3 linked regions of the Lepisosteus oculatus genome follow. The protein of the gene in region 1 purifies or fractionates together with the protein of each later gene. This does not show direct contact. Links are inferred from orthologs where the notes say so. Each region holds a gene or a part of one and is shown on either strand. Other genes may lie near its edges. The genes, in order: lyn, plcg2 and ankrd54.

Evidence for each region.
Region 2: the proteins of lyn (region 1) and plcg2 purify together in Homo sapiens (affinity purification with western blotting; 3 studies listed by BioGRID, with this or other methods). This does not show direct contact. The link is inferred for Lepisosteus oculatus from reciprocal best matches to the Homo sapiens genes LYN and PLCG2.
Region 3: the proteins of lyn (region 1) and ankrd54 purify together in Homo sapiens (affinity purification with mass spectrometry; 3 studies listed by BioGRID and IntAct, with this or other methods). This does not show direct contact. The link is inferred for Lepisosteus oculatus from reciprocal best matches to the Homo sapiens genes LYN and ANKRD54.

What each region holds. Positions count from the first base shown.
Region 1 is NC_090701.1:49,187,462-49,195,563, forward strand, and holds the start of lyn (tyrosine-protein kinase Lyn), read left to right. Parts: upstream 1-5,008; 5' UTR 5,009-5,093; intron 5,094-8,102. UniProt on the Homo sapiens protein: Non-receptor tyrosine-protein kinase that transmits signals from cell surface receptors and plays an important role in the regulation of innate and adaptive immune responses, hematopoiesis, responses to growth factors and cytokines, integrin signaling, but also responses to DNA damage and genotoxic agents.
Region 2 is NC_090715.1:12,894,194-12,901,400, forward strand, and holds the start of plcg2 (1-phosphatidylinositol 4,5-bisphosphate phosphodiesterase gamma-2), read left to right. Parts: upstream 1-4,193; 5' UTR 4,194-4,438; intron 4,439-4,462; exon of another isoform or gene 4,463-4,887; intron 4,888-5,409; exon of another isoform or gene 5,410-5,412; 5' UTR 5,413-5,413; coding exon 5,414-5,566; exon of another isoform or gene 5,567-5,573; intron 5,574-5,673; exon of another isoform or gene 5,674-6,001; coding exon of another isoform or gene 6,002-6,082; intron 6,083-6,172; coding exon 6,173-6,406; intron 6,407-7,207. UniProt on the Homo sapiens protein: The production of the second messenger molecules diacylglycerol (DAG) and inositol 1,4,5-trisphosphate (IP3) is mediated by activated phosphatidylinositol-specific phospholipase C enzymes. It is a crucial enzyme in transmembrane signaling.
Region 3 is NC_090707.1:39,581,391-39,588,831, forward strand, and holds the start of ankrd54 (ankyrin repeat domain-containing protein 54), read right to left. Parts: upstream 3,071-7,441; 5' UTR 2,927-3,070; coding exon 2,602-2,926; intron 1,979-2,601; coding exon 1,931-1,978; intron 1,227-1,930; coding exon 1,128-1,226; intron 1-1,127. UniProt on the Homo sapiens protein: Plays an important role in regulating intracellular signaling events associated with erythroid terminal differentiation.

The sequences.
Region 1 (8,102 bases):
AGTATTTTGAGAAATGTTACCAGTGTTCTTGATGAATTGTAAATATTAAACCTGTTCTGTTAAGTGCTTCAGAAGCGTTTAATATTGAAACTATCATGTATTTGTTGTGTAAAGTACCTTTTCTATAAAAGTGAATCAGTAATGCTCATGCTATATCCCATTATTGTTTTTTTTATTTTAAAGATTATTGGATTTTTGAACCCATATTCATGTACAGTATATGGTAACAAAGCTTGAATTATACTGTTGGCAGTGTTATATTTTTTTTTAGGCATATCGATCAAAGTTCCTATTAAAACATTATATTCCATAACTATTTTTGTAGATTTTCTTAATACTAGTAGTTTGTTCACTGGTGGAGTATATTTCAGTTGTCAGATGTTAACAGCTAGATTTGTTGCTACACAAAATGTTTTCATTGTACAATTTAAGGATGTGAGTTTTTGTGACTTTGGAAAAAGCACTAAGTTGGCAAAGACAAGCTTTTTCACATGTCTTTTATAAACGGATCAAAGAGACGGAAGAAAAAAAGTTATTTTTTGGGGTGTGTATAAATGTAGCACCAGAAATGGCCAACACGTTATTCCATGTTTTTAAAAAGGACTATTTCATTTTTTAGTTTTTTTTTTCCATTTGATAAAAAATCTTACATATTCAAAAACAGAAGTGTCTTAAGAATAAGCTATTGGATTCTTTTTAATTGGTTTTATTTTAAGGATCTCATCACCACTGTAAGTTTTCTACTTAAAGCAGGAGAGATGGCACAGTGGAGGAACATGAGAAACTTGGCGTTAGCACAGGCTGTGTGTGTAATATCTTCATGTTGTTTGGCAGTCCACCAGAGCTGTACGCCATTCGCAGTCATGGACATTAAGGACAGAAGCCACGTGCTACAAAGTGGATGCTTTGTGTGGATGTAGTTAGCGTGCATTGATTTTTCAACATTGTGCTTCGATGTTGCCACCTTTGTTATTTATAATCTTACCGTTTCAAATCAGCCTTTAAAGACTGAAGATTTAAGCACCTTTTTCAGGAGCATCAAGCCTGCATATTACAATGACTATTCTACTGCCAATGATGTTGTTTATTCTGGATTTGACAGGTATTATAAACCCTGCCTGACAGCAAAGAAATACAATTTCAGTGTCAGTGTCCTATCACTGGGCTTTGACTGTCAGCTCTGTGCCACCGCATAACTTGCTTGGTGTAGACGTCTGCCATCTGTAGATGTTGTACACCATTGGCTTTGCTAGCTGCCTCCACCTTCCTGCTTACTCTGTTTTTAACGTGTGTATCCAGGTTACCAAACCAGGTCGCTACAGTGAAGGTGACAACAGATTTAGTAAACATTCTGTAGAATAATGTCATTGCTGTCGTACAACTCGTTAAAAGAGCGGAGTTAAGTCAGGAAAAGCAAATGCCGTTGGTTCTTCTTACATACAGCATCCGTGTTTTCCTCAAATGTTAGTTTGTCGATGAATGTCTGACCCCCGTCTGTCTTCCAGATCCACTTTCCACCCAATCTCTGTGTGCATTGTTTTCAGACCAGTACAGGGCATAGTGCAGGCAGCCTGTTTCCTCCTCATTCCCAGCTGTTTTTCACTCTAGTCAGGGAAAGCTTCATCAAGATCGTTACTTTCTCTTCAACATGGCATAGGCTGTCAGTGGAGGCATTTAGTATTTATCATATATTTCTGGTTGCAGGTGCCATGGAGGTGGAGTGGTTAGAGTTAGTGAGTGCAGCTGAACGTACCCAATGAAGAAAAGAGAGAGGGAAGAGCAGGAGGAATTAGGAAGACTGCAAGAGACCGATGTTTAAAAGATAAGATAGGATCCCAGAGGAGATAAACCACATAAACATACACTGGTGGGCTGGCACGTGTCACACTGTGCACATTTTCTGTGCTTAGGAATGGAAAATCCATGAATGGTTTTCATGAAGGATAGAACTAGACCCCCATGTCCAGCTGGATATAGATGGTTCCATTTCTAAATAGTTTGCCTGCCTGGCAAAACAGGCTTTATTTTCTGACAGCCACATACTGTAACAGTCTTATTTATAACTTTCGTTTTGTAATTTGCAATACGTCCATCCAGAATTAGGAAGTCCGCACTTGTAATGGAAATTGTTGCTCATATGTAAATGAGATTTGCAACAGTTCACTAACATTACAACATAAGTGCATTGATGTCTTTCTTCTTTTCTATGCTGAAAAGCAGAAAGAAGATGCACAACTTTTCAGCTGTGGAGCCTTCACACCTAAAGAAGGCTCCACAGCCAAAACATCATGTTTCTTCTTTCTGCTTTTAACTGTTCATGTATATCATGTTATATCTGTTATAAACACTAGTTTTATTGAAACAGACCTTCATCAATCTGATCAACAACAAATACAAGAATGCAAGATGCGCAATAAGGCTAGACAACGTGCTGCTGATAACATTGCACGGATGACTTTGACCAGGTAACTGCTGATCAATCAGCTGATCGCAGGTGGTGTTTTTCAGATATTTGTGTCTTTTGAACCCCTCACTGCCTTTGTTTAGCACACAGTAAGTTGTTTGATCAATGGCACAGTTTGGGAAATCTGCTCAGGCATATCAGCAGAAGATATCTGGTCTCAGTTGAGCTTGTATGTTGTGTTTAATTGTATGGAACAAGCAACAAAAGAATTATTGTAAGGTGTCGGATAGGAATAACTACATATCCTGTTTTGCAACAAGCAGCAGAGCTCATGTTTGGCAGAGAGTCCAAGGCAAGTGTTCATACATGGCAAGGACATCTGTGTCCAAAACGTCCTAGCCTCAGGGAAGCATGGGCAGGTGAATGGAAGAAGCTGAATTCTACAACCCAGGCACTTCTACAAGCAGTGCCTTCTGCTAAAGACTTGTCAGCACAGCCCTGAGAAGAAGTGGCTGTGAAATTGGATAGAGAGCATGCATGGCCAATCATAGCTTCTACACTGGGCCAGAGTAACACTCCGAGAACTTATCCTATCCAGTAAAGTACATCTGCTGGAACAGACAACATCTGAGGTCTCTTAAGCAAATGAGGAAGTGATGTGATAGAAGAATCATCGGCTGCCACTTCTGTCACTGATTGATCAGGGTCTAAGCAGTCATAGAACCCCCTGTAAGCCACATCAAGAGCCTGAATCATGAGAAAGCCACTGTGTTAAAGAGAATATGAACCCAAGTGATTAACACATAGCTATATACAAGAGGCTAAAAATCCCTCAGCTGCTACGTACAGTAGGTTATCCAGTAGGATTTTTCACTGAAATTAATAATTAAAGTTACAAGTAAAGGTTAGTTCCATTCTTAAATAGAAGAGACAAGATTTTGACTGTAGAGCTGTCTTCTAGTGTGAGGAAGAGAGAAGACGGGTAGAAAGGATATAAAGCACAGGTGAACAAAAGGAAGGAGCAAATGAAAAAAATGCACAGAGCAGGTGAGGAAAAGTGTCCAAACAAACAGAGATCCGGGGGAGAGGTGACAAAATTGGAATGGATATGGCTCAAAAAGAAATCCGTCTATCATTAAAGGGGGTAGGAAGACATCCAAATTTAAGGAAAATCTTGTTTGTTTGTTTGTTTTTCCTGAAGCAGTAGTATTGAAACCCCTGTAAAAGGATACAGACAAAACGGTCAGTGAAATCATGGCCAGGACAGGTGAAATGGAGAACTATTTGGGTGGAGAGATTTTTCATCCTTACAACTCTGATGTGCTCCCTGAAACGGTTAGCAAGTTTTCTTCTTGTCTCACCGATGTAAGAGAAGCAAGAGATGCAGTAAATGAGATTACTAGATACATTTCTGAGTGATTTTGAAATGTATGGTACTGGACACACGCATATGCTGGTGATTCAACAGCTTCTGTTACAGCAAAAAAAAAAAAGGTGCCTGGTGTGGATGGTAACGGATAAATCAATATTTAAAAACGTTGTTGCTTGTTTGTTCCATACAGTGTCTGTTAATTTATTTTTAGAATTATAACTCCATCGCCTTCGCTCTCACTCCAGGAGACTCATATTACATAGAGCGCCTTCAACGTTTTTAATAAAGTAACTAAGCAAAACAGGCGGTTCGAGTTTTGTTACTCACTTCGTTAATTACCAGATTCTTGAGTTGTGTGGCAATAAATCTGAGCAGACCAGCTGACCTCTCGTCTTCGTAAGGGTTTTGTAAGGGAAGAACATATACAGTAGTTGCTTTTATGGCCTTTGGCCATTATGAGTACGTTTTCCGATTTGCGCTTTTGTTTACTCTATTTATTATATTGATTGTTCAGCTTACTTATACCTAATATAAATTTGCAGAAAAGCAAATAACAGTTTGCTGCAGCATTCCGAAAAAATAAATTAATGGGTATTTTTATAAAAAAATATCCTTTGAATTTTGGACATAAAAGCATAACACGTGTTTCCTAATTTATATAATTTATAATAGGTATTTGAATTTCCATCCATTTTACAATCCATACAAAATCCATCTAAAACCTCTCAATGCGGTATCAATATTATATCACTACAGATATGCGCCACTGGGAGAAGAAACATGAGTTTTTGTCTGATTTTGTAGAAGTCAAATTCGTGGATTTGTTGTAGCATTAAAAAAACTATTTCGTTACTTTCAGAGAGCAACGCTTTGTAATCGGTCACAGAATCCTTTTACAAATAGTATTAATAACTTGCTCCTCTAAAAAAAAAGTGCATTAATTCCTGAAATGCTTTTTTAATGGTTGGCACTTGCAACTCCAGTATTCTTGCTTTCCCCAGAAATTTTGCTTGTGTTCAAGATAACATAAAGGTCTCCAGAGACCGGACATTTGAAGAGCGCAGGGGTATTATGCAAATAAATGCTAAACATACTGAACATTGTACCAGGAAGTTGCACTAAAAACTCCCAAACCAATTCTGAAAACCAAGTTCCTCATTCTGTGTGCTAGATGTTAACAGCAGAAATTAAAACTGGACTTCATTTTTCAGAAGAATAAATGTGTAAACAGTACGCGTGAAATTCGAAAAATAGTTGATCTGCGACAATTTAAAGGCGCCAATTACTGGACAGAACAAGGATCTATAATTTACAAAAGTAAGTCAATTATTTTGTTATAGTCCTAAACAGTTACTAGTATACTAAGTTTGGTGGTAACACCATTCTGTACTCAATTCTTGACATTAAAAAAAAGATATTTTCTTTCAATAATAGTACCTGAAATTAAGGTGGTAAGAGTTCTATTTGATACAGTTTTTTAAAAACGTTACTTCGGTTCAGCTGTTTGTTTTCCCGTTGGTTTTTACAGTCTATTAATAAAGACAGTATTTGCATCATCTCCATAATCATTATCATCTTTCATGGAAATATTATGCTCCATATCTTCAAAGCACTGTACGTGTAAAGTACATTCTTTTACCGTCTTTTAATAACACAACAGTTTCTAAACCCAAGTAAAATGCAATAAACGTCTTCTAGGAGCAGAGTGTGTTTTATCTGACTTAATGTACAGTCCGTGAATAAGCACTGAAGTAGAGGGCTGTCTTGAAACCATTTGTAGGTGTCGATGTGTGTGCCTCCCAACACGTATGTTTCTAGATATGTTAGCAGAATAAGATTGTATTTCTATGACTGTGCAAAGTGCTTCAGATTTTTAATATCATGGGTTTCTCTATGTAACAAACATCGTATGATTTTTTTTAAAACAACAAAATATAGCGAATTCTGGGCAATGTTAATATTTTAGAAACTCTTCTTTTGTTAATTTTTAAGTTCACGTTTTATTGTTTTACTTTGTTATGGGGTAAAGTAATGTTAGAGATGTACTTTAATAAATGCTGGCTAAACTAAAACACAAATAGTATAATTTTTGTGTCATACTTGTTGTGTATTTAAGGAAAGATACCATAGCTTTCAGGATTTTCAGGATAGGTAGCTTAAGCAAACCAAACATTACAGTTTTTAACATTTTGTTTAACTGGTTCATAAAGCAAAAACAATACAGAACACACAACAACATCTAGAAATCTATCCATAAATTATTTAGGTTTGATACTATAACAGTAAAAAGTCAACTTGTTCACATTAATATCAATCATTTCAGCAGACTCATTATACACCTGGAATCTTCAGGTGTATAATTTGAAGAAGAGGTGTCTGGAAGTACTGAGATTTTAACTTCAAGACACTGGAACAAAGTGTGTTTATTAGGAATATTTGTATTCCTAATAATGATGTTATTCAATACTAGTTTGCTATAAAATGTAAAGAAAAAAGATGTCATGAAAAACTGAATGTCATTGAAATTTTGGTTGTTTTTTATTCATGCCATCATGAATTATTTACAAGCATGCAGAATTATACTTTTATTAAAAATATCTTGTGGACTTTATCAGCAAAGTTGTTTTTAAATATGTCATGTATTATATTTCTGTAAATGTTTTAGTATGTAGCTTATTATTTGCCTTTCAACAATGGAGAGTAGCTTATAACCCCTAATGCAAAACCCACATACTTCACAGGAAATGCAAGAAAACAGGTGGTCATGTGTTTTAGACACGCATTGCCCAGAGATGGTTTTCAACACTTTTAGCTTGGTATCTTTTCTAAACCACATTGACTTTTCTATACAATAGTATTGTATAATAAATGTTTGTGCTGTCTGATAGTTTAACACTAGTTCAGTACTTTCATAAGCATCACTTCCACAGATAAGATAAAGAATGAGTCCTGTTTGTAGTTTGTGCTGCTGAATACCTTGCTGAAGTATGGAAGCAATGCCTACATATACAATGTATTCTATATCAATATACCATCAATTTACCTTATCTACCTGTATCTTGTTTTGTTGAAATCTTTTTGTACAGACGCTTCATGTCATACTACTTTATGTGTTGTAGTAGCAGGGGTCGTTCTTCGAACGAGTCTTAATTTGTTGGTTTGGCAGGATTATCATTTTCAGACTGAGCAGGTTGTCCTCTGCCGTGGGGCTGCAGTAATGTTTTGCGCTTTAGCTTTGACTTTGTGTGTTTTGAACATAGTATAAGACATAAGAGGATGTCTTAAACAATCAGCACAATTTGTGGCTCACTTACTGCACATACAGTACAGTATTACACTAATGCAGATAGCAGTAAAACCTTACAATTTGGTTCTGTGTCCATTTTATTTAACTATAAGCCACATAAATCAAAATCAGACAGTTTAAGAGTGGAGGTACCAATCACCCTCTGTAGTGCCAAGTTTATAAATGCTGAGTTTGATGATTTGCAAGGTCCGAAACAGCTAATGTGTGTCAAATGGAGAATTTCCTTTTTGCAAGAAGAACTGTGCCGTTGTGACATTTGTGAGGTGTGCTCATTTGTTTAAAACATACATTAAAATGTCCAAACAAGTTGAATGTCATCTGGCATTGTTCCTTGAAAATGCTTGCTAAAATGCCATTAAGAATAGGGATTAGCATTTGAAAAGAGACAAAACGTGTTGATGATGGTATTAGCTCTCAGGTGGTTATCTACATAAGCTTTTATTTTATTGGACATTAAACAGCATGTTATCTACTGTATGTAGTAAGACCCTGCTCACTATCTGAATCAGCAGTCTTCCCCTGACATGTCAGAGTTGTTGCACAAATGGCCCAGCTCAGAGGAGGAAATACAGCACATCAATTGCAGAAGGGTTACCATGATAATCTGACCATAGCACCCTGCCTGTTTCCTGGCTCTCATCTAAAAATACAGTGACGTCTCAGCTCCAGCATTTCTCAATCTAAAGTCCAGCTCTTTCAGTGGTTTCATCGTCTCTTGAACAGCTTTGTTTAGAAACTATGAGGTCTATTTTCTTCGACGCTTTTTATTGTTCTTTCTGATGTGACAGTTTATTTGGGTTCCTACAATTATTTTTTTTTTAAAACGTTGAGCATTTCTCTTTGGTCTCAAATGAAATTTGAGAGAATTAATATGTGTTTGCACAGATTTTGTGGGCTTTTTTGACCACTTTTTAATAACTGTAGTAATGTCCAGTATTGTAACTTTCTATAAAAAATGTCCATAAATGCTCCTTTTGGGGGAATGCTTAATAAATTTTACAGTGAGAGAAACAGGGGGA
Region 2 (7,207 bases), on another chromosome or scaffold:
GTTATGTTTCTCTCGATATTTGCAGAAATCTGCACCAGAAGAAAGTGCTTGGAGGCAATAAATTGTAAAAGGCACAGAGTAAAAGGAAAGAGTGATTAGGCAAGTTAACAGAGGGGCCACAGTTAAAGGCAGCATCCTTTTGTGGTACAGAGAAAAAAAGATGTCGGACAGTTTGTCTGCTGTGTGACCTGGATTCTGTCTGACATGCTAAGTATATTTTTTTAATCTAGAGAAAAAAAAAGGTAACAACAAAAAAAGATGACAAGCAGAACTCAGTTTGCCTTGAAGGCAAATACTTGCAGTTAGCTCTGTGATGAAACTCTGTTTGTTTGTTTTTTTGCTGCCACAAAATGTGGTGCAAAACCCAATCCTGCCAAGTAAGTGGTTCTGTGGTTTGGTTGCCTGAGCAATCTGCAGGTTTCAGGACAGAGCCTTTGAAGTTTTGCGTGCCAGTCAGTCATCTCTGTGCCCTTACAAGGGTCAGATCGGCGCAGTGCAGCCTCTGTGCTGAAACAGGAAGCAGACCAGAGCAGCCTTTACTGACAATCAGCACGGTTTTGGTGTCTTTCTCTGGAAGGAAGCCGAGACATTTATTTTGAGCGTTTGAAAACGGTCTGCACCATTTTGATAGAACAAACACTGGCATACCAAGTTGTTTCAAAGGAAACACAAGCTCCCAGCAGATAATGTTAAAATGCTCTGAAAATGAATGCTAACTAATAAGGGTTTCACAGTAATTCAGGATCACAATCTGAACTTGTGCAAGTTAGGCTCTGATGAGAGCACACTTGCTACAGTAGGTCACAAAGAGCCAGAGCTGGGGTGTAAATGAGAGCACAAGGTTCTGGAAGGAAGCTGGGAAGTCCAGTGTTTCCAGTGGTAAAGGAGGGGATTGTGGGATTATCAATCAATGAAGAAGAGAAGTTACACAGTCAAGCAGTTGCCTCTAGTCAAGTACAAGATTCAGTTGAATAAAAGATTTAATCTAATTAAAACTTAAGGATTTTTCATCATCATCATACCTTTTGTATGGCTGCATGAGGTAGGTATGATGTCAGGAAACCAATTTAGAACAGACCCTAACATCTGGGCCTATTACTTCCTACTGTCCTATGCACAGATGTCTGAATAACACACACAGCTAGATGCTTTTGCAACAAGGTGATTGTGTTAAGCAGTCTTGAAGTGGGCCTACAGTACAGGAAAATCAACATCCTGTGTAAGCCTTTTACTACCATGGAGACTGTGTATTTGGCTCTATCCTCACAGGTTCTCTTCACTTTTGGGCACAAAAAAAAACAGCCCATCTTCCATGGCGGTTTAAATATTTTACACTCGGAGACGAGCTTTGGTGTGAAGATAATGCTATTATGTTACTGTTGTTCGTAATAGCTATTGACACAGCAGGTTCCCAATCTCGTCCCGGAGGCCCACAAGTTTGCCGCTGGCTCCAGCCCCTAGGTGGACTTAGTCAGGCGACCAGCCGGGGAGCGGCCCCGGTGGAGCGCAGATTGCGCGAGGCATTTAGCCGCCCGGCTGAACTCACAGGTCGTGCTATTACGTCATTTCTCATACCGTCGGATGTACCTCTGCAGATGTGTAGGGTTTTAAATAGCTCTTTTTTTTCACTTCATGAAAAAGAACGGCACACGCACAGAGCCACAGACTCTCACAGACGTAACACACTTCCTATCCAGCCCATTCGACGTGATTTTCTTACCATATAGGGCTCGAATTTGAAAAGGAAGCAACACGAAGGTAGATGGTTGGAGGAGAAATATATCCACGACTGTGAAAACCACATGTCTCAGCCTGCTCTGCGACGGAGACAGAGAGACTGACGCGTACAGAGCGTGTCAAAACGCCTTTTATGGCTGGTTTGACTTTTGCCCCCTTTGAAAAAAAAATGCAGAACTAAAACCTTTATTGCTACAGAATCGGTAGCTTTCAAGTGAACTTGTCTTGCGCGGAATGCACAGATCGGGGAATGAGCAGAAGCCGCAGTTACAGTAGCTCAATTAAAATGAACACCTCTGGAAAACCTTTTTTCACAGAACTTTGAGCACACAGTAGGAAGCTGGTGTTGCAAAATGCATCATTTGACTTTTTGGGCATTCAATTTTAAAATGAGGAGGGACGTTTCTGCTATATTCATATTTTTTATGCTAAGGATGACTTGAAACTGCGCTTCGTTTTAACATTTGCATTTGGCCTTGTATTTCAAAACTTCAGCTAACTGCAAAGCTGAGCTACAGCTACAGGGTGCTGGGCGTCCTTCACAACACCGAATATATTTTCTCAACTGGGTTATGAAAGCTTTAAAAATGATGAAATCATATTTGGATTTCAATATCCTGTTGTGTGAGGTAGGGATTTAAAATCCCCCTCATATAATTTTGCCTTGGGGGTTTTAGAAATTCAAGGGTAGGGTGTGTCCCGGCAAAAGAATCATGATTTCATTATGGTCTCATAACAAAAACTACGTATTATACCCTCTACCACAACGATATGATGGAATTTCCAAAATAGGAATGAGCAGAATAATAGGTTCGAAGATTTGTGTAACAGTATTAACGCCTCTGAGCCAGACCTGCTACACTTATCGGTTTTTCACATTTTCACAGCAACAGAAACTCATCTCTTGCATTCTTTGAAAATTCAGTCAATTCAGAATGGGTGAGGAAGACAGACGACGTAAATTGGCAGAACATAAAATATTTTTGAGCATCACCAGGAAAGCCCAGCTCTGTAAACTACCCATATCACCCAACTTAGTCAATCCTGGTTTCAGTCGGAGGACAGTGAGGTATGCTAAATCAGTATGCTACTGTAACCATTCATACTAGATCCCACAGTTTACAAAAGAGATTAACGACCAGAATTTCTCCAGAATAAGAGTTATGCGCTCGTTACCAAAGTTACCAAAGGCTACTGTAGGTTTGCACAAACCGGAAAGCTACAGGTACACCGTACGGACAAGTGTAGAGAAATGAAAGCTTGTGAAAAAGGGCTCTCAAATATGAGAAAACATCTGCCTAATCTGGAAGCAAGGAGCACGTAGCAAGGTAGATTACTCTCTGTGAGCTAGATAGGTACACGCTTTAGCAGTCCAATATATGAGAGGTATACGGCTTGTACAGCCTTTACCGTTGCGCTATCTTCTCTTTTGAAAGCATGGTGTTTTAATTAGCCACCAGAGGAGAAGTTCCTCTTTATTACGGACTGCTTGCCAAAAGCATCAGCAGTGCCATTTTGATGTTGTGATCATCTGTTTTGAAGGACTGTAGAATTGAAATTGAAGTGGGGTAGCTGATAAATGAAAATTGTTTGATGCAATCGTGACTGGGCTTTGAAATTTGCATTTGTGAGTGTGCATGACAGACAAAAACAATGTTATCTGATATTGAAAAAAGTTGAAGCAAGACGTCTGCGCACAACAGGTTAGGTGGATACACACCCACTACACTGAGAGAAAATCTTTATGTCCTTAAAAGGATTTAATCTTCTAGCAGATCCCTTGCTATGTAAGTAACAGTAATAAGTAAACTTGCGCCCCCTTGTGCCAGCGTAATCCTAAAAACGTAATATTCTCTGTATTCACTTTATGTGAAAATATGCTTGAACTTAAGTGCGTAACTAGTGTTTTTTTCCAAAAGAAGAGAAAGTTTTAAGGCACTCTTGAGAGTACTTTAAAATATTTGAAAGCAGGGACATATCTCCGAATTTAATTTGATAGCTGGTAAATCCACTGTATCCTTATTTAAAAAAAACATCAAAGGCGGCAATAAGAGATGACCAATTAATTTTATGAGGGTGCTTACATTAGCCTTACAGCAATATTATTCTGCATGATAAGATGTTACAAATGGAATTGTGTTATTTGTTTTAGCCCGAAGCAATCTACATACAGGGCGGTGTTCCCTGTCACCATAGTGAGATATTAGTTTGGAAGATGCCGGACCTGGTCCCGGGGGGTCCGTGTGTCTGCTTTCTAAATCTCTTTAAAGCACTAGCAGCTGAAATTACTAACTTAACCCGATTAAACCTATTACTAGCTCGCTTAATGTTGTTCATAACCCGTAAAATAAGCACGTTACACTCTCCTTGGATCCCATTGGATACTTCTTTATTTCTGTCCCGCCCAATGTGTATTTTACGAGTATGCTATTGGACAACTTTTCTGTCATTATGGGCACTGTAAGAGGAAGTTCCGGGTCATGTGACTTAACCTGTTTCCTTGGGTTTGGACGTGATGAAAATAACAATTAGTTTAGCCCAAAGAGGTGTTTTCTTATAGTACGGTTCAGTTTTAAATGGGTGCTTGCTGGAGTCTGAGTACTGAAGGTGCTCGTGTTGTCCGAAAATGAGTAAACACAAGTGTGGTTTTGCTCTGTTGTTTATACGTTGAATGCAGTTAACTGGACTTCGTTTGCTCAGGGTAATGATGTATCTTACTGTTGAGTTTAGAATATTTTGCAAATATATTAATTTTAAGGCTTTTCTTTTCTAAGAATCTAATCTGAGAGAATCTAAGAGAAACGTTGTTCTTAACGTTTCAGACCAGTGTAGCTGAGGTATTGAAGCCTCATTCACAAAGTAAAAACAAACTGCTATTAGACATGATATCATAGCTCTATATGTTTAAATCTTTACATATGAAATGTTATTAAAATTAACGAGACCCAATAAAACGCAAGTTTTATCGGACAGCAATTTTGATAAGAAGTGCAGTTTAAATCTCTTTTGATTTACTCTTTTTAAACTCTGGAGGTCTTCCTTTTCCTGGAAGAGTAAAAATCGCCCGGATTATGGCTAATGGCAGTCCCAAGAAAAAGCAACAGGATCAAAGCATCAGTCGATACATACAGGAGGAAAGGGAAAGTGAAGGTTGCAGAATACTTCTCCTGACAGAACTAAAACGAGCCCCAATCCCATGTCTTGCTATAATCGCTATGTGTGATTGCGATTTGACCTGCATTGGAGAATGTAGTACTGTCTTTTTTTATCAGTAAACTCGGCTGGAGGTCCCAGCTTCAGAATTATGTGCTGTTTACGACGGATCACACTGCCGTCTATTGTCAGTGACGGACAGTTCCTAATTGTCAGCTAAAACAAAAACATGTTGTGGCCCCCTTCACTCGTAAAAGTCGCTAAAAATGAGTGTTGTTGTCTATATGTTAGTTTCTTGCTTTTATAAAGCGTTTTTCCTTCCAAAGTGATCCACCTGTGGGACTGCAGGGGGCGGGGGGGGACCCACTTCGTCCGCCCGCGAGGGCAGCCGGCTCCTGGGCGACGGGCGGCAGCCTTGTGCGCCAGCAGCCCGGCCGCACCCAAGTCGTTAAGACCAGACGAGGAGCGGGCTGGTGAGCGGTGCTTTGCGAGTGTTAACGTCTGCGTGTTGTCTTCAAGGAGAATGGGGAATTCCGAGAGCGTCTCCATCCAGCGGCTGTCCCGATTTCGCCCCGAGGAGCGGCCGGTGATCGAGGGGGCGTTTGACAAGCTGTTGGGCTCATGGGTGGCAGCCGCCGGGAAAGGGAGGCCTCTGCTGACCCTGGAAATTGTAAAGGCAAGGAGTAAGCCATTTGTTGTTGTTTTTTGTGTTAGCCCACCCGATTTGGAATCGCCAGTTGCGTGTTTATGACGTCTCGTCTGCAAACCCTGTGACCACACAAGGGGGAGAGAGAGGAAGTGTAGTCAGACTCCTCGCTCCCGTCTGCCTGCGATCCACTCGTTTCTCCGGATGTCCCAGGCAGCACAGCCCCAAAGGGAGAGCTCTGTGCTGATTGGAGGAGAAGCCTTTCCTTCACCGGCACCATCTCATGCCTGCAAGCTTCTGGAAGGCCACAGGGGGCGCTGTGACTCTGAGAGCCACAATCACCCTGGTCGATCAGTAGTCGGCTAGTGACATGATCCTGGCTAGATCCCATGGTCACACAGCTCCGCCAGTGGGCGAAGTCCCTTACTGGATGAGCTACTCAAGAGGCCCCAGAATAAGCCATTTATGATGGTTCTGATTCAAGGGTCTTCAGTCACCAGTCATGAGAAGTGCGCTAGACCCGAGATGGAGTTTAATAAGCAGGAGGTATTGCTGCACATTACTTAGTGACGGCTTAACACCTGTTTGCATTTGGAGAAACTGGTAGTGTCTATGTGTTCTCTTCTTTATCTTCAGGGCTGTCTGCAGGGCCTGGCTACAGACAACATGGCTGTTCGTGTCTACGATGGCATGCGTAACGTGGACCCCACGAGGAAGGCAGCGCCTCCTAGTGGTGCTGTCAGCAAAGAGCAGTTGGTGATCTTCCTCTCAGATATCTTACGAGGCACAGCTGAGGAGAAAGGTCCCGTCGTCCTGTCCATGATCTCTGGAGCTGGGAGAGGCACTGTGAAGGGTGGACAAGTCGGAGAGGTAGTAGGACTCTTAAATTCCTCATTTCCCTGAATCAGACTAGTTCCTGGAAATTGACCAGGGTGATAGACAATTTCCAAGTGTTAGAAGTGCTAGCGAGAGGATGCTGTAGTGGGAGGTGGCCACATGGTAAGTGTACTTGTAACTCACCATAAGCAGTGGATACACCTTGTTAATTATTTTCAGTTTTGATTTTTATTACTTGGATAACATAAGTTCCACCACATGCATATTTGTATTTAAGGTATAATGATATGATTTTTTGGGGTGGCACAGTGGTGCAATGGTTGGCATTACTGTCTCCCAGAGCTGGGGCCCTGGATTCTGTTCTGGACCTGGGGTGCTGTCTGTGTGGAATTGGTATGTTTTCTCCGTGTTTGCATGGTTTTCCTCTAGGTCCTCTAGGTTTCCTCCTACTGTCCAAAGATATACTGGTAGGTGAATTGGCTTCTGGGATAAGTAGGCCTAGCTGTGGGTGTGTGGGTGTTTGTGTGTGCCCTGTGATAGACTGGTGTCTCATCCAGGCTGTATCCTGACTTGTTCCCATTCCTTTTCGGGATAGGCTCCAGGTCCACCATTAAACTTTAAACTGGTAGAAAGGTGTTTCGTGTTGCATGTAGTCTATTAATTTGCTTTGCAGTTATTCTTAACAGTTTCAGGTGCAAAAATGTCCACACACTGTATCATTAAAATGTTAAGCCTTGTAGAAATCATTCTGTTGGAGTTGGAAGTACATTAATGCTGTCTTGGATCTGAAAGCTGGCTGCTGTCCAGGTTTTCTGTCTGTGAAGGCTTAACTTT
Region 3 (7,441 bases), on another chromosome or scaffold:
CCCCCGCTGCGCCTCCCCCTTGGACCCCCCGCTGCGCCTCCCCCTCAGACCCCCCGCTGCGCCTCCCCCTCAGACCCCCTGCTGCGCCTCCCGCTGCGCCTCCCCCTCAGACCCCCCGCTGCGCCTCCCCCTCAGACCCCCCACTGCGCCTCCCCCTCAGACCCCCCGCTGCGCCTCCCGCTGCGCCTCCCCCTCAGACCCCCCACTGCGCCTCCCGCTGCGCCTCCCCCTCAGACCCCCCACTGCGCCTCCCCCTCAGACCCCCCGCTGCGCCTCCCGCTGCGCCTCCCCCTCAGACCCCCCGCTGCGCCTCCCACTGCGCCTCCCCCTCAGACCCCCCACTGCGCCTCCCCCTCAGACGCCCCGCTGCGCCTCCCGCTGCGCCTCCCCCTCAGACCCCCCGCTGCGCCTCCCGCTGCGCCTCCCCCTCAGACCCCCCACTGCGCCTCCCCCTCAGACGCCCCGCTGCGCCTCCCGCTGCGCCTCCCCCTCAGACCCCCCACTGCGCCTCCCCCTCAGACGCCCCGCTGCGCCTCCCGCTGCGCCTCCCCCTCAGACCCCCCACTGCGCCTCCCCCTCAGACCCCCCGCTGCGCCTCCCGCTGCGCCTCCCCCTCAGACCCCCCGCTGCGCCTCCCGCTGCGCCTCCCCCTCAGACCCCCCACTGCGCCTCCCCCTCAGACGCCCCGCTGCGCCTCCCGCTGCGCCTCCCCCTCAAACCCCCCACTGCGCCTCCCCCTCAGACCCCCCACTGCGCCTCCCCCTCAGACGCCCCGCTGCGCCTCCCGCTGCGCCTCCCCCTCAGACCCCCCGCTGCGCCTCCCGCTGCGCCTCCCCCTCGGACCCCCCACTGCGCCTCCCCCTCAGACGCCCCGCTGCGCCTCCCGCTGCGCCTCCCCCTCAGACCCCCCACTGCGCCTCCCCCTCAGACGCCCCGCTGCGCCTCCCGCTGCGCCTCCCCCTCAGACCCCCCACTGCGCCTCCCCCTCAGACGCCCCGCTGCGCCTCCCGCTGCGCCTCCCCCTCAGACCCCCCAGACCCCCCACTGCGCCTCCCCCTCAGACCCCCCGCTGCGCCTCCCGCTGCGCCTCCCCCTCAGACGCCCCGCTGCGCCTCCCCCTCGCTCACCGATGCCCTCGTTGCCGTTGCAGGAGGCGAAGTGCAGGGCGGTGCGGCCCTTGTCGTCCGCGGCGCAGGGGTCAGCGTCATCCTCCAGGAGGCGCCGCACTGCCGGCACACAGGCCCGCACGGAGAAAACATTACTACACACACACAGCACTACACAACACAGATCTACACTGTACACAACACACAACACACCACACAACACAGAGCTCCACAACCACAACACAGCACACTGCTGTACACACAGAACTACACTACACTGCAGACGGATACTAAGACTACAACACAGCACACAGGCCCACATGGAGAAAACATTACTACACAACACAGCACACACACATTACTACACAACACAGCACACAGGCCTGCACGGAGAAACATTAATACACAGCACACACACAGTACTACACAAAACAGCACACAACACACAGCACACAGACCCACATGGAGAAAACATTACAACACAGCAAACACACAGTACTACACAACACACCACACAAGACAGTACTACACAGCATACCACACACACAGTACTACACAACACAGATCTATACTGTACACAACACACAACACAGCACTACTACTACATAGCACTACACAACCACAACACAGTGTACAGTGGTGAGGTTGGGGTGGGGTACAGTGGTGAGGTCAGGGGTCAGGGGGTGAGGTTGGGGTGGGGTACAGTGGTGAGGTCAGGGGTCAGGGGGTGAGGTTTGGGTGGGGTACAGTGGTGAGGTCAGGGGTCAAGGGTGAGGTTTGGGTGGGGTACAGTGGTGAGGTCAGGGGTCAGGGGGTGAGCTTACCTGTGTCAATGTCATTGCTATTGGCTGCCTCTCTCAGCCTCTTCCCAGCTGAACACAGAGAGAGAGAATCAGAGGACACACTAACAGTACCCACACACAACCGACGCTCCTGACACAACCAACACTCCTGAATCCCCTGACACTAACACAACCGACACTCCTGACACAACCAACACTCCTGAATCCCCTGACACTAACACAACCGACACTCCTGACACAACCGACACTCCTGAATCCCCTGACACTAACACAACCGACACTCCTGACACAACCAACACTCCTGAATCCCGACTTTCACAACCGACAGCCCTGACACTAACACAACGGACAGTACTGACACAACAGAACGACACTCCTGACACTCACACAACCAACACAAGCGACTCTCCTGACACAACTGACACTACACAAGCTCTGCTGGGCACCCGACTTGACAGCGCTGACTCCACCAGCAGGGGGCGCTCTGCACTGTCCCGTAAGGTGACCAGGTGGGACACGACCCGTTACTCGGGCTGGTCTCTCGGTCACTCCTCCCTGGGCCTGAGAGCAGGGACTGACCCGCACGGCGGTCGGCCTGCGTCCCCGCGGGGAAAGGCGCTATACAGGCGGTGTGGGCCGCGCTGCTCTACGCTGCGGACAGCCCGCTAGGCGATACGAGCCAGAACCGGTACCGTGCGTCTCTCTCCCCAGCGGCGCGGCGCGCTGCGCTCTCCCGTGGCGCCTCAGGCGGCAGACTCCCAGCTTCCCGGGCCGGCGGGGGCTGCAGGGCTCGGGCTCGGCCCGGTTCGGATCCCAGAGCACGTGCAGGTACCGGAGTCCCGGGTCTGCGGCCGCACCGGCCCCGCCGAGCCGCACCCCGTCCCCCAGTCCGGCGAACCCGAACCCGGCCGCCTCCGCTCCGGACTCCCGATGCGGAGCCTCCGGCGGGACCACGTCCTCTCCATCCGAACTGGACCGCTCTTCGTCCGAAGCCACCACCGGGCTCCAGCCCTCCATTCCGAACCTTCTTGTGCGTGTTGTATTGCAAACTCTTGGTTTATTTACAAAAACACCGTGTCTGAAATCAGAACGCCATATCAGTCACTGCAAAGCATAACAAAACCACCAAGTTTGAAACTGCAGCCCCTGAGTCCACCATTTTGGCTCCGTACCCCTACTCTACAGAACGTGGAGAACTCTATTGTGCAGAGCCAAGATGGCACCTGTTTCACCGCTGTGGCGCTGTTTCATGTACGCATGCGTGTGAGGAAAGTGCGCCCACCCATTGTTTCTATTCCCGGAAGTGACTTGATTGATTCCTGTGAAGACCAATCAGAGAACGTCATTTGCACCCGCTCCGCCAATGAACACACTGGAGAGGTGGGACGTGGGGGGACTTTATTATTAATTCTTATTATTATTATAATAATTGCTTATACTTATATAGCACTTTTCTGGACACTCCACTCAAAGCGCTTTACTGGTAATGGGGATCCCCTCCACCACGGCAGCCATAGTGCACCAGATCACTCACCACACACCAGCTCTCAGTGGGGAGGAGAGCAGAGTAATGAAGCCAGTTCATAGAGGAGGATTATTAGGAGGCCATGATTGGTAAGGGCCAATGGGAAATTTGGCCAGGACATCGGGGTTACACCCCTACTCTTTTTGAGAAACACCCTGGGATTTTTAATGACAACAGAGAGTCAGGACCTTGGTTCTACGTCTCATCCGAAGGACAGCGCCTGTTTACAGTATAGTGTCCCCGTCACTATACTGGGCCATTAGGACCCACACGGACCCCAGGGTGAGCGCCCCCTGCTGGCCCCACTGACACCTCTTCCAGCAGCAACCTTAGTTTTTCCCAGGAGGTCTCCCATCCAGGTACTGGCCAGGCTCACACCTGCTGAGCTCCAGTGGGCTGCCAGTGGTGAGCTGCAGGGTGACGTGGCTGCTGGCTTAAGCCGACGAGGACCAGTACAAGTAATTAGCTCTGTGAATTTAGTGCTGCGTTTGTGTTGTTTTCGGACCCGAGATACTGCGCCGTCTGCCGAGCTCATGCGTGTTACTGGTGCAAGACTAACAGTTCTGCAATCGTGTTCCTCTGTTTGCCCAGGTGGGGGGCGGCGCTGGAGTTTGCATGTAATACCAGCATTTTATGTGCGTCTGTGTGAACAGGAAGATTAAATTTCTCTCTAATATCCAACCCTTATCAGACGAGCTGATAAGGTGTAGGGTGTAGCCTGAAAAAGCGAACTTTAGCAAACAATCGTATATTCTAACAAGCACGTCTTAAAACTTCACAGCGGTGTCCTGTTTTAAAAATCAGAAGTGATCAATTTCTCACCGTCTCCTTCTTCAATAAACACGCGCACCAAGGGCCTTGTAAAGATTCGACCCGCCAGTCAAGCCACGTGTGCAAAAAGGCTTGAATTTGCAACTTTACGAACAACAAGACAGCTGTTGCTCTTTTTGTGCAAAGAACACTCGTCAACGTGAAGAATAACCAGGATGTTGTTAAGTGGCACTGTGTACAAGGGCGACACGGATAAGGTATTAGATCACTTTATTGACAATATACAATTTCTTGTAAGTGTGCTCAAGTGCGCTTTATCAGGCTACGGCCGCAGCGCTTCTGATAATATGGAAGCCCGTTTCCGCCAGGGAGTAAAAACAACGCGCTATGGTACCTCGCAATTGTGACTTTGTATCTCAGAATTACGACTTCGAAATGCCCACATTTCATTGTCTGTCCTTTCGCTGTTGTAACGGATTCGGGTTCAAGGGCTTGTGCCCTCGCCGCTCCCACCCTAGTTCGTGCCTCACTGCATGGGCTCGAACCCAGGTCTTGCCAGCTGAGCTAAAGAAGGTCATTTGTTTGCTTTAGCTAATTAATCCCAGGAGCTCAGCCAGCTGTGTCTGGAGAGAAGCCAGGGTATGGGCTGCACCTACGTGCTGAGCAGCTTGTTCCCCCCTCCCACCCCTCTCTGTGTACAGTAGAGCCTCCTGTCCTGGCTGCAGGAGCTTATCCAACTGTGTCTGGAGAGAATATGTTCCCCTCTCCCACCACTCTCTGTGTACAGTAGGGCCTCCTGTCCTGACTGGAGGAGCTCATCCAGCTGTGTCTGGATAGAAGCCAGGGTATCGGCTTCAACAACATGGCTGGGCAGCTTGTTCCCCCCTCCAACCCCTCTCTGTGTACAGTAGAGCCTCCTGTCCTGGCTGCAGGAGTTCACCCAGTTGTGTCTCCCACCCCTCTCTGTGTACAGTAGAGCCTCCTCCTCTCAGTTTTTCCTGCTCTTCCTCCAGTTGTTACTTGTGCCCGCTGTATCGGTGTATGTGTGTTCATTTTGAGAAATCGTGGGACCCAGTTCCTCCAGCCTGCCCGTCTCTGCTCGCTGTTCTCTTTACACTCGGCTTGTACACGATGTTCCCAGTGCACACTGGACAGCTCCAAAGGCAGCACCTCCGGAGCTCAGTTGCAGGGGGTTCATGTTCCGCCCTGATATTCTCTGTGCGTTTAGCGAGTGTGCTCTGCTTCTGTCTTCAGTACCAGCGGGGCGGGGTCACTCCGGGGTTAACAGGTTTAAAGCCCCGGGCCGGTGTTCTTGTCGGGAATCTGCTCCTGATCTATAGGCTGTGGGCTGCTGCCCACCGCGAGGTGGCGCACACTGCTGCCACTCTCCACTCGCTGTCCCGCGTTCTCGTCTCCAACAGCTGATGCTGTGGTGTGTTACGTGGGGAATCGCGCAGGCAAGGATTTCACTGGGCTCCGGTCGGCGTGACGATAAACACGAAGCCTGAAATGTCGGTCTGTCCTGAGTGTTGTGTTTCAGCCACCCAGCCACGCGGCACCAGCCCCCACGTCCCGGGAAGGAGGGCCAGCTGTGGTGGGCTTCTCTGTGCGCCCCTCGGACAGAGGCTCCCCAAACCGTAACGAGCTCAGCAGAAAGACGAGAGATGAGCTCAGACCACCAGGTATATTCCCATTTCTCTCTTTGAGAATATTCAGATTTGAAGTAAATACTCTTACATTCATATTGTTGAAATAACTACGTGCAGTAATTTAATATTTTACAGTAATGTCCATTTCGTTGATTAAAGAAGTCTGTCAGTATATGTACGAGATGATACATATACTGTATATATATAGTTCAGGTGGGTAGCTGCGTCAAAAAAGACCCTACCACTGACTACCAAAAGGAAGTGGTATCCACCATTTCCCTTCTTATCAGCAGTAACGAGCTCCCCCAGGAGGCGAACCGGCTCATCATGGAACATCCACAGGTATCTCAATTTTACCTCCTCCCCAAAATCCACAAACCGGACACCCCTGGACGCCCCATCGTATCAGCATGTAACTGTCCAACTACTTACATCTCAGCCTTTCTCGACAGCCTCATGAGACCGCTGGTTGAAGATCTTCCCTCATACATCAAAGACACCAACCACGCGCTCCAACTTTTCAATGATTTCCAATTTCAGGGTACCGAATGCCACATTTTTACCATGGACATCACATCTCTGTACACCGTCATTCCCCATAATGACGGCCTTACAGCACTCAAGCACACGCTGGACAAACGCACAGTGCTTGATCCACCCACCCACACCCTGGTACGCCTTGCAGAATTGGTCCTCACACTGAACGCATTCTCTTTCAATAATCTTTTTTACCAACAGGTCAGTGGAGTTGCCATGGGCACCAGAATGGGACCCAGCTATGCCAACATTTTTGTCGGCTGGGTAGAAGAACGCTTCTTCGCCTCCTACACTGGCTATGTCCCTGACCTCTACAAACGATATATTGATGATTGCGTCGGTGCCGCCACATGCTCCAACGATCAGCTCGAGTTCTTCCTGCACCATTTCACCAACTTCCACCCGTCCCTCAAATATACAGTTCACATATCTTCCACCACTCTTCCGTTTCTAGACATCCACTTGTCTATCAACTACCCCCGACTTTCCACTTCAGTTTATTACAAACCCACGGATTCACACAGCTACCTCCTGTACAGCTCATTTCACCCCAACCACACTAAAAACTCTCTTCCTTTTTCACAGTTCCTTAGGTTACGAAGACTATGCAGCGACGACATCGACTTCGAGAACCAAGCCCTCGAAATGTACTCATTTTTTATCAACAGAGGATACCCCAGCAGTGTGATTGACAGGGCCCTTGCCCGAGCCAAAAACACCCCCCGGACCATCAACCCGATCAGGAACTCCCGCCGTAACAACCGCATTCCCTTGGTGCTTCCTTACCACCCTAACACACTTCCTATCCCCAGGACCATTAACCAGAATTTTTCCATCCTACAGGATGATCCCTCCATTGGGGCCCTCTTTTCTGATCGCCCTATCATCTCATATCGCCGACCACCTAATCTGCGTAACCTCCTTGTTCACAGCTCCCTTGACCGCCCTCAACAACCATCCACACCAGGCACTTTCCCTTGCAACAGAGCTCGCTGTATCACCTGCAAGTACACAGCCACCACCACACTCATTCAAGGCCCCTCAGGACAA